Notamacropus eugenii: one gene and its partner. The protein of the gene in region 2 interacts with the protein of the main gene of each other region in a biochemical or structural test. Links are inferred from orthologs where the notes say so. Each region holds a gene or a part of one and is shown on either strand. Other genes may lie near its edges.

Region 1 (9,914 bases), on a different chromosome or scaffold from region 2:
TGAAAATAAAGCAAAATACTGGGTGTGAGCTTGAAGGGTTGAATACAAGGGAGACAAATGTTTGCAAAGGGTAGAGGAACCACTAGATAAAAGAGTTTGAAAAGGAAAGATCCCAGAGATGGAAGAAATCAAGGGCACAAGTAGTTTGACTTCAAGGGCCACCTTCCAAGGGATTGTGATGAAGTAAAGAATGACCCATCACCCATGTCTTAAGCAGTATAAATCCCCTTCTCCATAAGATAAAAGAATTTAAGGGACCTCAAGAGTTCATCTAGTTCAATGCTTGTTTTGTGAACAGGGAAACTAAAAAGGGTTAGGTGACTGTCATAGCCCCAGTAAGTTCATGGCAGAAATAGGACTTGTCTAGTTTTCCTTTCACTACTTTATATGGTCATCTCAAGTGATAAGCCCACCAGAAAAGTCTTCCATTTAAGAGTCAGGCAGGCAACCTGTAACACCAGTATCACTCAACAATATCCAAAGTTAAATTGGTAAGAGCATTCAGGGATTAGGGAATAGCACAGCACACTTCCAGACTCAGACATGCCATTTAAAAGACTAGACAGAAGTCAAGACTGCATTTTTCCTTAAAGCCTTTAATTTCAGACACGATGGAAAAATTTTTTACAGAGACACATGGAAAACTTAGACATGATCACAGTTTTGATAGTGTAGACAAACTAACCAGATAGCTAGCTGTACTATCAAGGCTGCCTTCATACCATTATGGTACCTTCTCAACAGTTGCCTAGGTAACAGATAAGCTAAGTGTGTTTAAGCTGATGAGTTTTGGATGCAACATGCTGCAGTTGTACGGAAGGGGTAACTAGTACTCTTCTCCTTCCTCTTCACCCTCTCCTTCAACAGAATCCACACCAACCTCCTCATAATCTTTCTCCAGGGCAGCCATATCCTCCCGTGCCTCAGAGAACTCTCCTTCCTCCATGCCCTCCCCCACATACCAATGGACAAAGGCACGCTTGGCATACATCAGATCAAATTTGTGGTCCAGGCGAGCCCAGGCCTCAGCAATGGCTGTGGTGTTGCTTAACATGCACACAGCCCGCTGTACCTTGGCCAGGTCACCACCAGGAACCACAGTGGGAGGCTGGTAATTGATGCCAACCTTGAAACCAGTTGGGCACCAATCCACAAACTGGATGCTACGCTTTGTCTTGATGGTGGCAATAGCAGCATTGACATCTTTGGGAACCACATCACCACGGTAGAGCAGGCAACAAGCCATGTATTTACCGTGGCGAGGGTCACATTTCACCATCTGGTTGGCAGGCTCAAAGCAAGCATTGGTGATCTCTGCTACAGAAAGTTGCTCATGGTAGGCTTTCTCAGCAGAGATGACTGGGGCATATGTGGCCAGAGGGAAATGGATACGGGGATAGGGCACCAGGTTGGTCTGGAACTCTGTCAGATCAACATTCAGGGCACCATCAAATCGGAGAGAGGCAGTGATGGAGGACACAATTTGACTAATAAGGCGATTCAGATTAGTATAGGTTGGGCGTTCAATGTCAAGGTTTCTGCGACAGATATCATAGATGGCCTCATTGTCTACCATGAAGGCACAATCAGAGTGCTCCAGGGTGGTGTGAGTGGTCAGAATGGAGTTGTAGGGTTCCACTACAGCTGTGGAAACCTGAGGGGCTGGGTAAATGGAGAACTCCAGCTTGGACTTCTTGCCATAGTCAACGGACAGACGTTCCATCAGCAGAGAGGTGAAACCAGAGCCAGTCCCACCACCAAAGCTGTGGAAAACCAAGAAGCCCTGAAGACCTGTGCACTGATCAGCCTGTTGGAAAAGAAAATCACAGTAAGAGTCAGTTTAGGTGCTAGGCTATATTCTTACCCTCTATGCCACATACTTAACTTTATTTTTATTTTCTGCTATCAATATTGTAACCTTTGGATCATGGACTATTAAGAAATATCTCAACCCACACTGAGCTAGTAAAAGCTGCCCCCAGTCAACTGAGGCAAGTCCATATCACCAGCTGACCTAAACTGATCTTTATCTATTGAATTTATTAAAGGAACAACTATTAGCTCAAAATGATCTCTAGTTTCCTTCAGTAAAGTGTCTGAAGCACAGCTATCACTAGGTACAACCACATCTGCTTAGGCATGAGTAAGAATCCTAGGGATCTAAAGGTAGATACCAGAAAAGAATGTTGCTTCCTTGGTCTCAGACAATAGGCTACAACACCGAAAGATGTTCCCTCTTCCTAAAGCAACCCCATAGGAGTCTTGTTTAATTTGTACCTACATCAAGTCTCATGCTCACTTCAGGGTAATCAGGAATTCACAGAATCCTAGCTATAAAAATTGACTAGTCTGGCAATATGTCTAAACTCAAAGATGTCAAATTAATATGGATAGTATTATGGGTATTTTAAGACTCATTCCCAAATATTGGGATTTACAATTGCGTAATTGTTTTTTTCAGGAATTTTCCAGGAACAAGAAGATCAGACTTCAGAAGTCTATAGGCTTCTATTGGAGAGGATATAGCTATTGGGAATACCTGACAAAAAAAACGAAAGTCCTATATCTAAAGAAAGCTAGCTTAGTACAACTGTCCAGGCTGTCTATTCTAGTGAGATCTGAAATCTTCTGTTTAGTCTGATTGCTGAATAATTATTCTAAGAATTCACTGTTGTGCATAACCATAAGCAATTCCTAAAATTGCCATGTTTTTCTATTCTTGACCCATCACAACTATTAGGATTAAAATTTATTTCTTTTTTATCTTTATATTTACCAGCTTCCGAATCCTGTCTAGAACCAAGTCAATGATTTCCTTGCCAATAGTGTAGTGCCCACGGGCATAGTTATTGGCAGCATCTTCCTTGCCAGTGATCAGCTGCTCAGGATGGAAGAGCTGGCGGTAGGTTCCAGTGCGAACTTCATCTAGGGGAAGAAATATACAAACACAGTTATGGTTATAGGAAGAAAAAAGAAGTGACAACTTGGGGAGGCCTTTAGGGCTAATGGCTAGACTCACCAATGACAGTTGGTTCCAGATCTACAAACACTGCTCTGGGGACATGTTTGCCAGCTCCTGTTTCACTGAAGAAGGTGTTGAAGGAGTCATCTCCTCCCCCAATGGTCTTGTCACTTGGCATCTGACCATCAGGCTGGATACCATGCTCCAGGCAGTACAACTCCCAGCAGGCATTGCCAATCTGGACACCAGCTTGGCCAACGTGGATAGAGATACATTCACGCTGTGGGACAAGAGTAGAGAAAGGCAATTTTGTAATGGGTCTCCTATCACAGAAAAATCTGCACGATTCTTGGTACCAATCGCAGGATTCCCAAAGTCCTCCTCATAACTAATTGAATTTACAAAACATTTTAACTTTCTAGAGACTTAAAAAAATTAACAATAGACACCAAGGAGTTCTATGGAATCAATATTTAAAATATGGGAGCTTATATGGCAGGGAAGGGAAAGAAAAACCTGGCAGAAATATCAAGTTTTGCTTTCATTTCACCCAATCTGAGTTCCCTGGAGCCACCCACTTTGTCATCAATAAGGCACCTGGGCTCTACAACCCTCCCTACAAAGAATTTGGGGGCTCATTCTCACTAAGGAGCGGCTTTTCTTTTGACTTCACGTTGAAATCAGTACCCCCTTCCCTCCCCGTACAGTCATTCTGTTTGGTAGGTGAGACTACGCTGCCATTTCCTGTACCTCGGCCCCAACCCCTTTCTGCCGCAACTCCGCAGCAGGCAGCCTAAAGATGGAGCTTAGTCACGGCTTCCTGCCTGCGCACATGTCCAGCCTCCCACCTCTGCAGGCGAGGCCAGATTTGTGAGCAGGCAGCAGACAGGAAGCAAGGATAGAATTGCAAGGAGGAAACGTCTGGCCCTCCGACGGAGGGGGAGGGGGAGAAGACTGAAGGCGCTATTGAGCCCGCTGCGCCATGGCGATGCCACCTCCCTCGCCCCAAACCACGGGGGCCGTCCACGTCTGCAGAGGCTGCGGCCCGCCCGGCCCCTCCCACCCCTCCCGCAGCCTCCACATCTGTCCGGCCCGATTATCCTCGGCCCAGATCTGGGGCCAGATCCGATTTCTGCCCGTGGAATCCGTCCTGCCTCTGCCCTCGCCTCCCACCACCTGCTCCCCGCGCATTCCTAGCGCAGAGCGGGCTGCGGAGGCCGGGGCAGGGAGGAACAGATGGCCGCGCTGCCATGGCACGCTATTGTCTCCGAGGACCGGCCTGGAATGGCAGCGATGCGCCTAATGCGGCCCGGGCCAGGGGCACGGGGGGGTGCCATGCCACCCACGCTATTTTTCATTAGATGAAGTTTTTTAGAAGTTGAAAAAAAAGAGCCAGCCCGGGCGGGCTTCCCCTCCTCCCCACTGCGGCTCTGCAGCCCCGAACGTCCGCAGAGCCGCAGTCCGGGGGAGGGGGGCCGTACCCGGGCGGGCGCGCGCCTTCCGCAGAGGGCTGGCGGGCTCGAGGGCGCGCGATGGCTTCCGTGCCCCGCCAGAAAGCGCGGGGAGAGGCTGCGGAAGCCGGCATGGAGGCGCGAAGACTGCGCCGGCAGGCGCGCACGCGGGAGGGGGAGGGGAGGAGGGCGAGGGGAGGAGGGCGGCGGCCTGGGCGCGCGCGGGAAAAGCCACCGCAGCCAGCGGTCAGGAGGCCGGAGCGCGCCCCACCTCGCTACCCGAGTCGGGGGGTGGGGAAGCCCCGCGCCGCCCTGCAGGCCCCAGCGTGGGGCCCTCGCCTCACATTCTGAGCTCCGTTCCGTCCCCCCCGCCCCATCAGGACCCCCCCTCCTGCCCTGAACTCCCAGTTCCTGCGCTTCCCGTCCGACCTAGAACCCAGCCCCAAGCCAGCCCCGGCCTCTCACCATGGTGGTCGCGGGTTAAGCAGCGGCTGAGACGGCAGAGCAGGGGTAGCCGGGCTCTCGTTACAGCCCTCGACAAGCTAAGAGTCGAGGTAAGTAACTCACTGAGGCGGGGGAGGCGCCGGAGCCGCTTATATGGCAGCTGCGGGGAAGGGCGGGGCTAACGCGGCAGACCGGCCAGCCCCTCCCCCTGCGAGCCAGGCCCCTGCTGCAACCCCGCGCCCGGGCGGGGAGCTGCGGCTGCAGAGGCGGGGAGCGGCCGGCGTGCTCCCACCCCCACTGCGGCCCGGAGGGAGGCAGGCCCCCTCCTTTCAGTGTCTGGTGAGCTCCGTTCCTTTATGGCTCAGAGACCTGGACATTACAAAGATGCCCCGAATCAAAAGCCCCAGACGCTCAATGGAAACCCTGAATTTATAATAATTCGGTAAGCACGCTGCCCTCAGACACTGAAGCCCTTAACTCAGCAGGGCCTCACCCGCAGCCATCAGGAAGGCCAATACTGCGGGGAAAACAAGGCTGCAAAGCGGGCGGTATATACAGATGTAGCCCTGGCCTGTGCAGGTCTGCTGTACCCCATGTCCACAGCATCTCTCCCTATCTTGCGTAATACTGAACACTTTCTTCCTGGACCCCCCCCCCCCCAAACTGAGATCTCGGACAAAGGCTCGGCTCCATCCTGAAATGTGAATTTTAGACATTATATCTAGTGTCTTCTTCCAGCAGACAGCCAGACTCAGCCAAGAACCAAGTGACTTTGCTAAATCATAGGTCTGGACCTCCCTCACCCTCCTCATCCTGTCCCTCTAACTCCCACTCAGGAAACCCCAGGGACTGTCAACTTCAAGATAAAATGTAAAGTCTCCTGTATGGCATTGAGATTTTTCCCATGCAGGTTCCTTCCCTTTCTAGTGTTTTTATGCTTTACTTCCTGTCTCACATTCTATGATTCAGCCATATTGGCCAGCTGGCTAGACCTCACGTATTGCACTCCCATCCCCCATCTCAAATGTCTGCCTGTAAACTGGCTGTTCTGTGCGCTGGGAATGCTGTTCTTCCTTCTCCTCCACCTTTAAGATAACCCAACTTCCTAGGAGATTCAGCTCAAACACCAGTTTCTCTCTCTGCTTTCCCACTCAGTTGCCTTTCTTTCTTAGGTTACTTTCTATTTACTCTTGTGTGTACCTATTTACTTGCTGCCTCCCACACTGGAATGTTAGTTCCTGGAGGGCAGGGGCTTTTTTGCCTTTCTCTGTGTTCCCAGCACTTACCCTAATGCTTGGCACATAGTAAGAGCTTAATAAATGCTTATTCCATGTGTGGATGGATAGTTTCTGGGTGTGATGGATGTTCCATGTGTGAGATCCTCTCAGTGTGTCTCATCATCTCTTATTATTCTAGAACATAGCTATGGAGCTGTTGGCACGTTTGAATTTAGTGTAGTTTCTGAGTGGCTAGATCTCTGGTTGGGACACTGCTATCTCGTCCACCTTTATGTCCTCAGTGTTTGGAGTTAGAATACAACCAACTTATGGGGCAAAAGCCCCAAACAAGTGGTACTTCTCTAGGCACAATAGTTAGCAAATTTGTATCTGTTTCTCTGATACTCATAATTCAGAGTTATTGCCCCTAAGGTGAAAAATAATGTTCCCATATTATCATCTCCACTTAGCTCTCCTCAGTACCTTTCCTCCTTTGCCCTCCTTTACACTGTGCTCTTTGAAATCTCTACTGATTAACAATTTTCCTTTCCTTCTAGATTTCTTATTTCACTCTTTCCATCAGGATCTCACAGAAACCTGCCTCTTTCTAAAAGACTGATTCTTGGCTACTCTTTCAACACTGGGTGTTTCTTCTCCTAGGCAACCTACCATATTGGGCCAGGAGAAGAAGTTGGCATTCAGTAACCATTCTTCCTTTTAGATTCATTCCAGCTATCTGTATTACCCCATCCAGAGTTTGATTTCTGGCATCTACCATCCTCCAGGTCACTTTCCTTTCTTTCTCAAGTATCTTGATCATTATTGGTTGCACCCCAATCTCTGCCTTTATATTGTGATATAGGTGTTGATGTCCTCTCAAAACCCTGCCTATCTTGCTTATCAGTTGCCTCAGCTGTCATGATCTACAATCTTTCCACCTTAGCCAGCCATAGAGAGGGTCATACCTTAGCTCCCACCATCACCCATAATGATGTCATCTCCATGATTCTGAACACTAGCATTCTCCTCTCTAATTATAATTTTCTGTCTTTTTAAAGTAGCTATTTGTACAGTGGCTTTACCACTGTGGTGAGTGGAGGAGGCCCCCAGAATTTCAGGAAGAGATTGATGAAACACTGGGAAATGACAAAGTCTACATGCAAATATACAGATTTCATGGTTTCTTATTTCCTTTTCCTTTGACCTTAAGAAATACTTTCTGTCTGCTATTTCAAGGTGCAAGGTGCAGAGTGATTCATGGCATTCATATTAGGCCTCCCAGTCTGCCATATAGGTGTGTAGTAGTAGATTTGGGTAGTCAGATTCCAGGGCTGCTATTTGTAGGAGTCCACCCTTTAATCTGTGGTGATGGTGAAAGAAATTAAAACCAGCACTAGTGGGTACAATTCTTGTCCCAAGACCATTGGCATGGGACTTTCTCCATATTGGTAGAGAAGAGAGGCAAGAGAGCATCAGTTCTCAGTCCTTCTATGGGGACTTTTCAAACCGGTGTCCCTCTTTGGGACTTCCCTCTTTGGGACTTCCCCCTTCAGGAGTCTTCAGGGATTGGTATTGGTCAAGTTTCATGTTTTCTTCTAGTGTTGTTGTCTTCCATCTTTGAGAGATAAAGGGAAAAAGGCTAACTTCACTTCAGGCTGCTGAAGGAAAAGGCTGAGAAGACATGACAGGAGCAAGAAGTCTCGGTCATGTCTCTGTTCCTAGCTTGCTACTCTAGAGACCTTGGAGAGTTTCCTCTTGGGTGAGATACAACACCATCTCTCTTGGTTAAGCTGAATTACCTTATTCCCAATGGGAGAGCTCTGTCATTCTGTATTATCTGGTACACAGACAGTTCTTGCTTTACTCCTGTTCTGCAGACTTCTGTAAAACCATTTTTTTCTTTCTTTTTTTTATTGGTAATGCGAGTGAAACAAAAGCAGGCAGCGGCCAGCCACGTGAAGGCCTGGCCAGAACCAAAAGGAAGAAGGGGGTGGGGCAGGAAGACACATGAGGTTCTTTGGGGACATAGATAGGAGGGGGGTGGGTGGGACAGACAGGCAGTAGCAGAGTACTGATATTCGGAAGACAGGTGGGGTTGGGGAGGGAAAGCAGGGCAACGGTCTCCTCTCTCAGCTCCAGAAGTCTCAAGCCAAGCCCCCTGATCTGGCTGCCACTGTAGCAGTGGCAGTGGCAATGGCAGTCTCTCCTAGTGTCCATTCTTCTGCTTTCACTTTGTTTGGCAAGGCCTGGGAGGCTGCAGCAGCTCTGATACTGTCCTGTATCCACCAAAGACTTAAATGATTTAATTTTATTGCTGTACAGCAAACTTTTTATTCTTCTTCAATTCACTTTTTCTGTTTTATTCTCCTAAGTGATTATTCCAAACTTTCTTTTCTCTCTTCAAGCCTCCAACATCATTTCTATTCTCTCTCTCAGCAAATGTTTTTGTAACTTTTTGCTGGAAAATTGAGATCATTTTTATGAGTTCTGTTATTTTTTTCTCTATATCACAACACCAACCCACACACATACATACAACTTCACTTCACTTGTGGTTAAGAACAGTCTCTCTACTTGTGCCAACAATCAGCATCCCTTTCTATCTGTTCCAGAATCTTGCCCAAACATTCCTTCCTTTTAAACTTTAACGCTTCTCTGTTTACTGGTACCTCCCTCATTACTTACAACCATAGTCAGGTCCATCCCCATCCTATTTGAATCAAAAATGGAAATATTTCCATTATGTGAAAACGGCCAGAAAAAGGTTTGGCTATGAAATCATGAAGAGATTGCTTTAAATTCTTTTTTCCCATTAAAGGCTCCCTTCTACTTTCCCTCCACCCCCATTAAGAAAGCAAGAAATGCAAAATTCCCTGTTACAAACAAATCCCCTAATTATCTAGGTCCCAAAAAAAAGTCTCAGTTTTCATTCTGAATTCATTACCTCTTTATGGGGAAGTGGGTAGCCTGTTTCATCATGAGACCTCTGAAGTTGTGGCTGGCCATTTTGTTGATCAGAGTTCTTAAGACTTGCAAAATTGATAGAAACATATTGTTTATTAAAACATAATAAATTTGTTTTGCATCCCTATGACTATCTCTCTTCTCTTCTGCATCTCTCCCTTTACCCAAATAAAATCCTTCCCTTATAACAAATAAGTATGCTCAAGCAAAACAAATTAGGTTGTATCTGAAAATATTTGTCTAATTCTGTACCTATAGTCTATCATCTCGATACCTAGAGTACATTATTAGTCAGTCAGTCAATAAGCATTTAATAAGCTCCTGCTGTGTGCTAGTCACTAATAGCACTGGTGATACAAAGGAAGGCAATAAACAGTTCTTCCTCTCATATCCTAATGGGGGAAGCAACATGAAAACAAGTATACACAGGAGTGTGCTGGAGCCAGCTTGTAACAGCTCCAGAGAGCTAATTGTTTACTTTTTAGTGTGAGCATTTATGCTTTGGAATTCAGCGAACACTACAAATCAGCACTTGATTTATTGGGAGCTTTTTGTATTACAAATTTATTTTATTTTCAATTCATGGAACAAAACAAGTATTGCCATATCGGTATAACAAAAAAAAGATGATTGCATGTGAAACTACAAACCTACCATTGGATTTATTTTTTGTTATTGTTGTGGATTGTCTAGACTTAAGAAAGTGTTGGAGAAAATGTTAATAATGTAGATCAAACTTAAAAGTGGATCCTGTGTACAGTTTTTGGGAGAGCCAATTATTAAATGTTGATCAGCACACCCCTGACTGTATGCAAACAAGATATGTACACAATAAATTAGAGCTAATCTACAGAAGGAAGGCACTAGTATTAAGGG
Region 2 (10,016 bases):
AGGCTCTTTGGCAACTTGTGAATTAAGAGCTAGATGACACAGTAAACTGGATGAGCACATTTGTGCTAAGGGAATGTGGAGAAGCTCCCTTACTTAATGGATGATGTAATCTAATAGGAAGGGGACTAATATGTCGATATATTTAAACAAAAGAAAATGAAAATTGCTACTATATACCTCTTCTCATGACCTAAAACAACTGAATCTTAATAAATCAAAACACGTTTTCTTCTTACAGTTTTTCTGAAATGTGTTTCTTTTGTCCTTGTCTGAAGAGGCATGCTTAATAGAAGTCATTTAAAAACCACACCCTTCCAGGCTCCATTTGTGCTGATAGCTCTTTGAGAACTAGGAAAGATACTCAAACTACAAAACATTTGTCAGTCACCTCATTAGGAGCATATATAAATAAACTGATGCATCCTCCTTCTCCTCTATGGGAATGGCCTGATGGTAAATTAAAAACAAGTTAATGGATACATGAAACTTACCTGATAGGAAAATGAGTAGCCAGCTGCATGAGAACTGTTACTAGAAATGAAGAGTTGAATTAAGAATGGTGGTAAAGGAAGCAAGGAAAGGCAGGAATAAAATTCAGAAGGACCAGATAAGAAAGGATGAGAGTAAATACAGCTGTAAAAGCTTAGACCTGCAATAAGACTTTTAGGAAACCCCATATAAGCAGCACTGAAATTTAAAGAGATAGTACATAAAATGAAATCCCAGGATTACAAAAAAATTGTTGTTCCTCACCAAAACCTTTCTTAAACTACCTTTTAAAATGGAAGATTAAAAAAAAAAATATTTCTATCATAGAGGTTATCTAGCTGAAACATATAGAGTATTTACTAATTTGAATGTCACTCACAGTTAACTAGAAATGAACTCTACAGGAGAACAGCAGTTTTCTCAGGGAGTACAACATGACGTTAAAAGGCAGGAAAAAAAGGAGGGAAGTCAATCGTGTTTCTCAAAGTAATGGCCCTTTGCACAAAAGCAGAGACCTGTTATTGCCATGTTGAACAAACTAGGAGGACAGCTGGGTATTAATCCAGTGATCTGGGTAACCTGTATTTTTCTTTCTCAAATTTTTTAAGGATGGGGAGGAAAAGAATTACCCTAACATTCTTGGAAATTCTGCTCAACTGCTTGGCATCCTAAGGCCCTGTGGAGGTCCTCTGACCCTGGTAAGCAGCCACAAGACAGTTGTTTCAGCCTAACATATCTCAGGCTTGCCTTGAAGACTAAATAATATCCTGATTATTTCATTATCCATTTCATTTGGTGAAAGTGAAAAAAAAATTCAGTCATTTGAAGCCTGAAGTTCAAAATTACATAGTAATAATCCCGTAATTAGGAAATGAAATGCAATCTAGTCCATTACAAATCCTTCAACAAAGTTCAGTTTTAAAGAGTCATAAAATGTTTTTTTAATCATATTTTAAACAATCATCAGAATTATTTTTTTTTATGGACAGCTGTCCTAATCTTTGCCAATCAATACTCACACACTTGGAGAGGTATTTCAAAACGGAGCAGCATTTTAGCCAACCCACGATTTGATTGAGGATTTGGTGAACTAAAAGGTATTAGGCCCTTCCATTCCTCCTTAGTCGTCAAATAGACGCAAGCTGAGAACATTTCCATTCAGTAATAGCCTGTCATAGCTACAAAAATCCATCTTCACTGGGATAACATCTGACTGGTATCACCAGAATAATCCTCATTCTTTGTTAGATAAAAGCTTTCAGAAATAACTTTGATTAGTTCCCCACATTCACAGAGTGGGAGTGGGGCTGGATGAGGTGGAAACCACTTAAAGTCCCTTCATTCCCTTACCTCCCTCTCATCTTTGTCCTTAGCCTCTGCTGGAGATGGGAGGGCTAAGTTATTCCAAGAGTGAATGTTCAGATCAATTTAGAAAGTGGACAGTATAATACTTCAGGCCATACTTCCTTCCTATTCTCCACCTCACCAAATCCCTTCCTTAAAAAGGCAGTGTTTATTCTTTCTTAATTTCCTACATGGAAGGGGAAGAATCATGTAGGAGAAGCTGCTGATGTAGATGCTGCATCTGTACTGCTCCCCCCTGGTGGCTGTCTCCCTGATGTCACCCCACCCATCTTTAATGTCACAAGACTGCAAAAGGTCTTGACCTCCTCACTAGTTCTCCTGGAAGGCTGTTTGGGAGGGTGGGGAGAAAGACACTCTAAAAATAAATGCTTGTTCTGAATTAATTTACTGTAAAGATCTGTCCACGATCTATCCCATTACGACCCCAGTCAATGTTCCATGATTGTGGTGAGCTCCTTGGTGGGTGCTGCTCCCAAAGTCAGCAGAACCCACATCTCCAATGAAGTCTCGAGATGCCTCCCCAATTCTTTGCAACTCTATCCCTAAAGAAGGAAATCCTAGAAGCCTGGGGTCCTTCCTACTCAATCTTCTCCCATTTCCATCAATCTCTCCTTGCCCTGATCCTCTTTCAGAAAAAGGCCTGCCGTTTTTCAGCTCAGTTCCTAAGCACTGGTTGTTCATGGGCATCTGGACCAGAAGAGCACTCTCTATCACACAACGCTCGCACCTGCAGGAATGCCTCTGCGCAACACGCGCAAACATGCTAGTTTTCCTCATGGATCTGTCAAACGAGCGGAGCAGGACCCTTTCGGTCTGTGTGTGGATTAACATGCAGAGGGTGTGTGCACGCGCGCGCTCATGGATGTGTACGCGCGCGCGCGCCGCGAGGCGTGGTGGCCACGGGATAGTGCCCCGGCCCGGGAATGAACTAGCGGGACTGTGCGCCAGGGCGCGTGCGGGTATGGGAGCTCCTGGCACCGAAGGAACGACGCAGACAGGCAATTCCCGCAAGGCACAGGGATGGTTTTTGTTTGTTTGTTTCGTCATTTTCTCCAACCCTAAGCAGCCTCCCTGAGGGTGAGGGAGCACCTGTGAGCCTACCCTAACCAGCCTGGGTGGTCCACTTTAGCCTCTGCGCGTGCCCGGTCCTAAAAGGGGCGTAGTCCCGGCCGCGCGGCGGCCAGCAGAGCCTTTGCTGTTCCCATACACTGTGGGAAAAGAAAACCCTCCCTGGGAATTTGGAGACGCGTTCTCAGAAAAGCCCGGAAACAGCGAAAAGAAGCGTCTATTGTATCCCTGCCATCGCCGCTGTCACGTTGGTTCCTCGGTTATTAAGGGGGAAAATCGATTCGACAAAAGCCTGCTGATTCTAGTGGCACCTTCTCGGGACTAGGTGGGGTGGCGATGCTCGGGGTAGACACCACACTTCTCAATCAAACGAAATTTTAAAACCATAGCGGGGAAACACGAACCATTTAACAGGGAGACACAAAGCGGCACTCTCCCCAGCGCACGTTCCCTAAGGTCATTCTGCGGTAGCAAAATGTAAAGCTTTCACAGCAGATTTCCCCCGTCTTGCTTTTAACCATATCACCACATGCCATCCTGTTCTCTACAGGGTATATGCCAAGGATATCACAACGGCATTTATAAGGACATGTCAGACTGCAAAATATGGCACCACCGATTTGAAAAAGAGAGAAGAGGGAGAAAGCCCATCCTTTCCCCCCTCCCTCCTCCCTCTCCTCCCTTCCCCCCTCCCTCCAGATACACACCTACTGCAGCATCCAGAGGCAAGCCCTCACCGCCATCACGGCCACGGCGTAAGGGCCGGCTACAGAACGGACAGCGCTACCCGCTGCGGGTAAGAGAGGAACGAGAACCCGGGAAAGGAAGAGAAAGAAACCCGTCCTCTGAAAATGCACCTTGCAGCCCGCAGCCCTGAGTGCGGCAACTGACGTCTGCAAAAAAGCAGCTCGATTTTCCGAGTGACCAAGGCGGGGACGCAGCCGCGGTGCTGGACACGCACACACACACACACACACACACACACACACACACACACGCACACACCCTGATTTTGGGGGGGGGAGGGAGTGAAACAGAAAAAAAAAACCTTCCCCCCTCAAGAAACGTCAACCTCACCATTCATCTGCTTTTTGATTTTTAGTTTTGGACACAGGGAGAATAGGAATTGAGGATAAACTTGCATCCATCCATCCATCCATCCATCCATCCATCCAGAGACCCCTCCCAGTTAGGCGAATCCACTCCACCTTAGCCAACATGTCCCCTGAATTCTGGGAAAGAAAGCCGGGTTGGGGGTGGGGACCCTAGTAAGCCTTTCCCCCGAAGCCCACTTCGGGGTGGGGAGGCATCTGGTGAAAAATCCACCCCACGCCCTCCTGAGCGCGGTACGCAAAACGGGAAATCGGAGGCAGGTTCCTGGGAGACTGGAAATTTCTTCTCCCTCATCCTCACCCCAGGGCCCCACCCCCTCCTGGTCGTTGGCATCGGAAAAGATGCCCCTCGCCCTACTGCGGCAAGTGGTATGGGGGAGGGGAATGGCAAGTCCCCCTCCCTTTTTTCCTCCGAGGTCACCGCAACCGGCGCCCCACCCTGTGCATTCAACACCTCGCTCTCCAGGTTCACGCAAAGGCTTGGACGCCGTAACTCCTTTTTTCCTTTCTCCACACACGCTTCCCTTTGTGGATCGCCAGAGGAACCCTGCCATTCTCCCCTACGCGGGTGCGCAGCCTGCGGCCGTGGGGTGGGGGTCAGAGCGCTAGGTAAAGGCATCCCTCCCTGCCCGCCGGGCGCTCAGCCATCCAGCCCGAGGAGGGGGCGCAGAGGCGCACTGGGGGCTGGGGAGCAGCTGGCCGAAGCCCCGCGCTTACCTGCTCGGCCGGTGCGAGGGGAGTGCGGAGCGCGGAAAAGGTGGCGGCGGTGGCGGACGCGGTGGTGCTGGGTGGCGGTGGCAGGTGGGCGGAGGTGGGCAGCAGCGGGCGAGAGCGGGCGCGCGCAGCCGAGGAGCAGAGAGCGCGACCACGGCGCCTCCCCGCGAACGGAGTAACTCAGCAGCAGCAGCGGCAGCAGCAGCAGGAGCAGCAGCAGCAGCAGCAGCGGCAGCGGCAGCAGGAGGGCGGGGGCGGGGGCCCAGAGCAGGCAGCAAGTGGAGAGCCGCAGAGCCAGCGCAAGCGCGACTCCCCGCCTCAAGGGCCCTCCCTTCTCCTCCGGCCGCCAGAGGGAGCCCTCAAGCGGCCGGGAGCCCCGCCCTCGGGTCACGCCGTTGCCCCTGCCGCCAGTCTTCTTTCCTTTCCCTGCCGTGGTTCTCTCTTTCCCTCTTCCCCACCCTGGGAATCTCAGCCCCAACCCTTCCCTCACCCACCCCAGCGCCTGGGTTTCCCAGCACGGACAGGCGCGCGCGCTCGCGCCCGGCGCATGCGCACGCACCTCTCTCCCACCCCATACACAGACCCCCTTCTTCTCTCAGCCTGGGGCCTTTGTCTCGTCAGAGAGACCCGGGGGCTTTTCCCTGGGGGGAGGGGGGCACAGGCCGGGCAGCCGGCTCTGACTTAGCCCTGACACCCCCAGAGTCACAGAAGCACTGGCGAGGGCGGTCCCCGGGACAGAGAGGACCCCCTCCCCCCATCCCCTCTGCAGCCCCGGGGTCACACCCAGAGTCGTCGTCACAGCGTGGTGGGGGTAGCGCCGAGGCGGACTTGGGGGTCATTTTGTCCACCCCCACCCCACCCCGTGACGAAGCCCAGGAGGTTAAGGGTGGGCCCGAGGTCACACAGCAGCGCATCTACGCGTACCTGCGCAGGTCTGCTCACCGCCCCCACCTGTAAAGCCACCCATTCCCGCCAGCTTGCGCCCCTGCTTGTCTCCCTTTGGGCCCCTTGGCAAAGGCGTCTCCCTACGAGCGATGCCCTCATGCCCTTTTTCCTCCCTCCCTTCTTAGCCGGGATTTGGACCCAGGCGCTCGGGCTGGGTGCCCACCCTGGGGTGCATCCTCTTCCACTCGTCTCCCTTGCGCCCCCAGATCACACGGTCGTTTCGGACCTCTCTGGGACAACTGGTTGGCACAGTGGACAGAGCATCGCATAGAGTAAGGACGACGGGTTCAGCCTTGGCCTTTTTATAGCTGGCAACTAATTCATATAACCTCTGCGTGCCCCAGTGTGCCCATCTGTAAAACAGGGATCATTCTAGTACTTTCTTCCCAGAATTGCTATGAAGATAAAACGAGATACTATTTGTAGAGTGCTTGGCAAACTTATTTTTTTTTTTATTCTTGGGCTCAAAGATCACTGAAGTTGAAGACTGAGGCCATGAAATTAAAAGACCTTTGCTCCTTGGAAGAAAAAGCTATGACAACTCTGGACAGCATGCTCAAAAGCAGAGATATCTCCTTTCCTACAAAGGTCCAAGATAGTCAAAGCTCAGGTTTTTCCAGTAACGATCTATGGCTGTGAGAGTTGGACTATAAAGAAAGCTGAGTTCTGTAGAATTGAGGTTTTTCCATTGTGGTGCTGGAGAAGACGTTTGAGAGTCCCTTGACAACAAGAAGGTCAAATCAGTTAATGTTTAAAGAAATTAATCCAGGTTATTACTGGACAGTCAAACACTGCAGCTGAAGCTTAAATACTGTGGCCATATAATGAGAAGATGGCACTTATTAGAAAAGACCCTGATGTGAGGAAAGATTGAAGGCAAAAGGAGGAGGGAATGACAGAGGATGAGAGAGAAAGATAGTGTCATGGGAACAAGAAACACAAACTTGGACAGACTTCAAGAGATAGTAGAGGATAGTAGAGGCATGCTATATTGTCCAGGGGATCATAGAGAGTAAGACACAACTGTATGGCTGTACAACAACAAATTGCAAACCTTAAAGTGATATATAAATGCTAAGTTATAAATAGGAGTATTTGTTGTTAACATCAGAGAGCCCCTCCCTCCTTCCATTTTCCTTTCCTACACTTCCTTGATTAGGGAGATTCATATTTATTTTCTCAATACCCAGTATTTCTTAAGCAGGACAGTTTTGGAAGGCTGCAATTCATTGGAGCTGAAAGAACTGGAGATTGGAGGAGTTTCAGATCTAGGGGAGAGTTAGGGTGATACACTGGAAAGCATGCTGTCTGGAGTCAAAGGTCCTGGATTCCAGTCCTGATTCTGCTATTTCTACCTGTGTGGTCTCCATGTCACTTAACATCTGTGGGCTTCAGTTTCCCCATGTGTAAAATAAGAGAGAGGATCTCTTCCAGCTTGATATCTATGATTCTGTGGGTTGACTACTCTACTCTGTGACCTTGGACAACTAGAAGGCCAGCAGGGTGTAGTGGACTGAGTGCTGGACTTGGGTTCCATTATGACCTATGTTATGAACAAACTATGTGACCTTGGACAAGTTATTTACCCTCCCTACCCTCAGTTTCCTCTTCTGTAAATTAGGGTTTGGACTAGATTGACCTCTAAGGTCAGTGGAGCAAGGCAATCATTGTGACTCACTATCCCACTCACCACAGCAACTTTTATAAACATTTCCTCTCTCAACAGATTTTTTCCTCTGTCCTCTCAACTGAGATTCTTTCTCCATATTCCACAAGAAATAATGTCAGACATTTGCTTCTTCTCTTTTCTTCCTCACCTCAAATCACTCAGATCCGTTCTGCAATTGTCTCCTCTTTTACCCCTGTCTAACATAATGAAGCAACCCTTGTTCAAAGGCAAACAACTCTACATATACAAGGATTCCATTCCATCTTCTCCAGCAGGTCACTCCCCTTTGTCATCCCTCTGTCATCCCTATTCTCTCACTAATCTTCAGTCTCTTATTGTCTGTTGGCTGCTTTTTTACTGCTTACCAACATGCCATGTCTCCCCAAACCTCAAAAAACTCTCACTTGATCAATCCCTTCCAACTATCTATCTATGAGTACCTTTTTGTGGCTAAACGACTTGAGCAATTCATTTACTGCCAGTGCTTCCACTCCTGTTTTTCTCATTTTCTTCTTAATTCTCTGTACCCTGATTTCTGATCTTATTGTTCAGTTGAACTTGCTCTCTCCATTTACTAACAATCTATTCTTAATCACCAAATCTAATGACCTTTTACTTGGCCTTTTTGCAGCCTTTGACCCTATTGAACAGCCTCTTCCTGATACTTTTCTTCTCTGTAGATTTTTGTGATTCTATGCTCCTGGTTCTCCTCCAATCTGTCTGACTCAGTACTCAGTGTCCTGTCCTAGAGCTTCGTCCAGGTCATGCTTGCTACACATAGATGTCCCCCAAGGCTCTGACTGGGGCACTCATTTATTCTCCCTCATACTATTTCATTCGATGATCTCATCAGCTCCCTTGGATTCAGTTACATCTTTATGCAGATCATTTTCAGATCTATCCTCCAGCCCCAACCTATCTCCTGACCTCCAGTCTTGCATCTCCAACGTCATGGAAATCAACTGGATGTCCTATAAATATCTTAAGTTCAACCTATCTAAACCTGAACTTATTTTCTTTCTTCCCAAACTCTTCCCTCTTCCTAACTTCCCAATTATTGTTGTCAAGAGTATCCCCATCCTCCAAGTCCCCCAGACTTGCAACTTAGGTATTATCCTCAATTTCTCAATCTCTCTTACCCTTTATAGTCAATAAATTGCCAAGTCCTGTCTTTTCTATTTGTAATATCTCTCCTTTTAGTCAGTCTTGCATCTCCAACGTCATGGAAATCAACTGGATGTCCTATAAATATCTTAAGTTCAACCTATCTAAACCTGAACTTATTTTCTTTCTTCCCAAACTCTTCCCTCTTCCTAACTTCCCAATTATTGTTGTCAAGAGTATCCCCATCCTCCAAGTCCCCCAGACTTGCAACTTAGGTATTATCCTCAATTTCTCAATCTCTCTTACCCTTTATAGTCAATAAATTGCCAAGTCCTGTCTTTTCTATTTGTAATATCTCTCCTTTTAGCTCTTTCCTCTCCTCTGATATTGCCACCACCCTGGTGTAGGCCCTCATCACCTTGTACCTGAACTATTGCAATTACCTACTGGTTGACCTCCTTGTCTGAAGTCCAAGCTGTCAAAATGACCTTCTCAAAGTGAAAGTCTGACCATGTCACCTCTCTCTTTTTCACTTAACTCCAGTGGCTCCTTGTTGCATCCAGTATCAAATATAAAATCCTCCACTTGGCCTTTAAAGGCCTCCGTAGCCTTTCCCATTTCTAACTTTTCAATCTTCTTATACTTTATACTGTCCTTCTGACCACTACATGCTCTGTGATCCATCGACGCTGGTCTCCTTGCTATTCCTCCAACTAGACAGTCTATCTCCTCACTTGACCTTTCCCTTGGCTGTCTCCTATGCCTGGAATACTCTCCTTCCTTATCTCTGCCTCCTGGCTTCCTTGACTTCCTGGAAGTACCATCAACAAAAAGCCTTTCCTAAGCCCTCCTCCTTTTTAGCTCCTTCTCTCAAACATTATCTCCAACTTATCTGGTATATATTTCACTTGTATATAGCTGTTTGCGTGTTATCTCCCCCAACCCCTTAGGCACATAGTAGATACTTAATAAATGTTTGTTGACTGCCTACACTGAGGACTTCACTGATCAGTTGTTTTTTTCACTTGTAAAATGACTACATGTTATTTCTGGGGGGCCCATAGAAATAACTCTTGGGGGAGAAAGTCTTTCATTTGTATCAGATGTCTAACCATTGCTGACTTTTAAGTTCATGCAATTAATTTACACCACCTTTTCCCCAATTTACTGATTTAGAAATCATTTTTATCATATTTTCAATAACCTTCCTGTGTTGATTACTATTTTCCAATTCACATTTCCCCCATAATTGCCTCTGAATATTTAAAAATTCATAGTGACAACCTTTGTGAAAACCTGGTTACATGATTTACCCATCTCAATTTCAATTCTTAACTCTTTACGTCATTTCAGTCACACAGCAGTATGGTCACATAGGCTTCACCATCTCTTAGAAATGTATTTATTTGTCCGTGTATATGTTTTGTCTCCTCCTGCTCCCCAGTAGAATGTAAGCACATTGAGGGTAAAGATTGCTTCATTTTTGTCTTTGTATCTTTGTATGCTCAGTATCTAGTAAAGGGCTTCGAGCCCTGGAATCAACACTTTAT

What was found. The genes of interacting proteins can lie anywhere in the genome.
Region 1: the proteins of MAPT (region 2) and tubulin alpha-1B chain form a complex in vitro, tested with the Homo sapiens proteins (2 studies listed by BioGRID). The link is inferred for Notamacropus eugenii from reciprocal best matches to the Homo sapiens genes MAPT and TUBA1B.

Annotation. Positions count from the first base shown.
Region 1 is NC_092874.1:221,009,305-221,019,218, forward strand, and holds tubulin alpha-1B chain, read right to left. Parts: upstream 5,137-9,914; 5' UTR 4,882-5,136; coding exon 4,879-4,881; intron 3,243-4,878; coding exon 3,020-3,242; intron 2,926-3,019; coding exon 2,777-2,925; intron 1,808-2,776; coding exon 827-1,807; 3' UTR 577-826; downstream 1-576. UniProt on the Homo sapiens protein: Tubulin is the major constituent of microtubules, protein filaments consisting of alpha- and beta-tubulin heterodimers. Microtubules grow by the addition of GTP-tubulin dimers to the microtubule end, where a stabilizing cap forms.
Region 2 is NC_092873.1:346,977,025-346,987,040, forward strand, and holds the start of MAPT (microtubule-associated protein tau), read right to left. Parts: upstream 4,880-10,016; 5' UTR 4,752-4,879; intron 1-4,751. UniProt on the Homo sapiens protein: Promotes microtubule assembly and stability, and might be involved in the establishment and maintenance of neuronal polarity.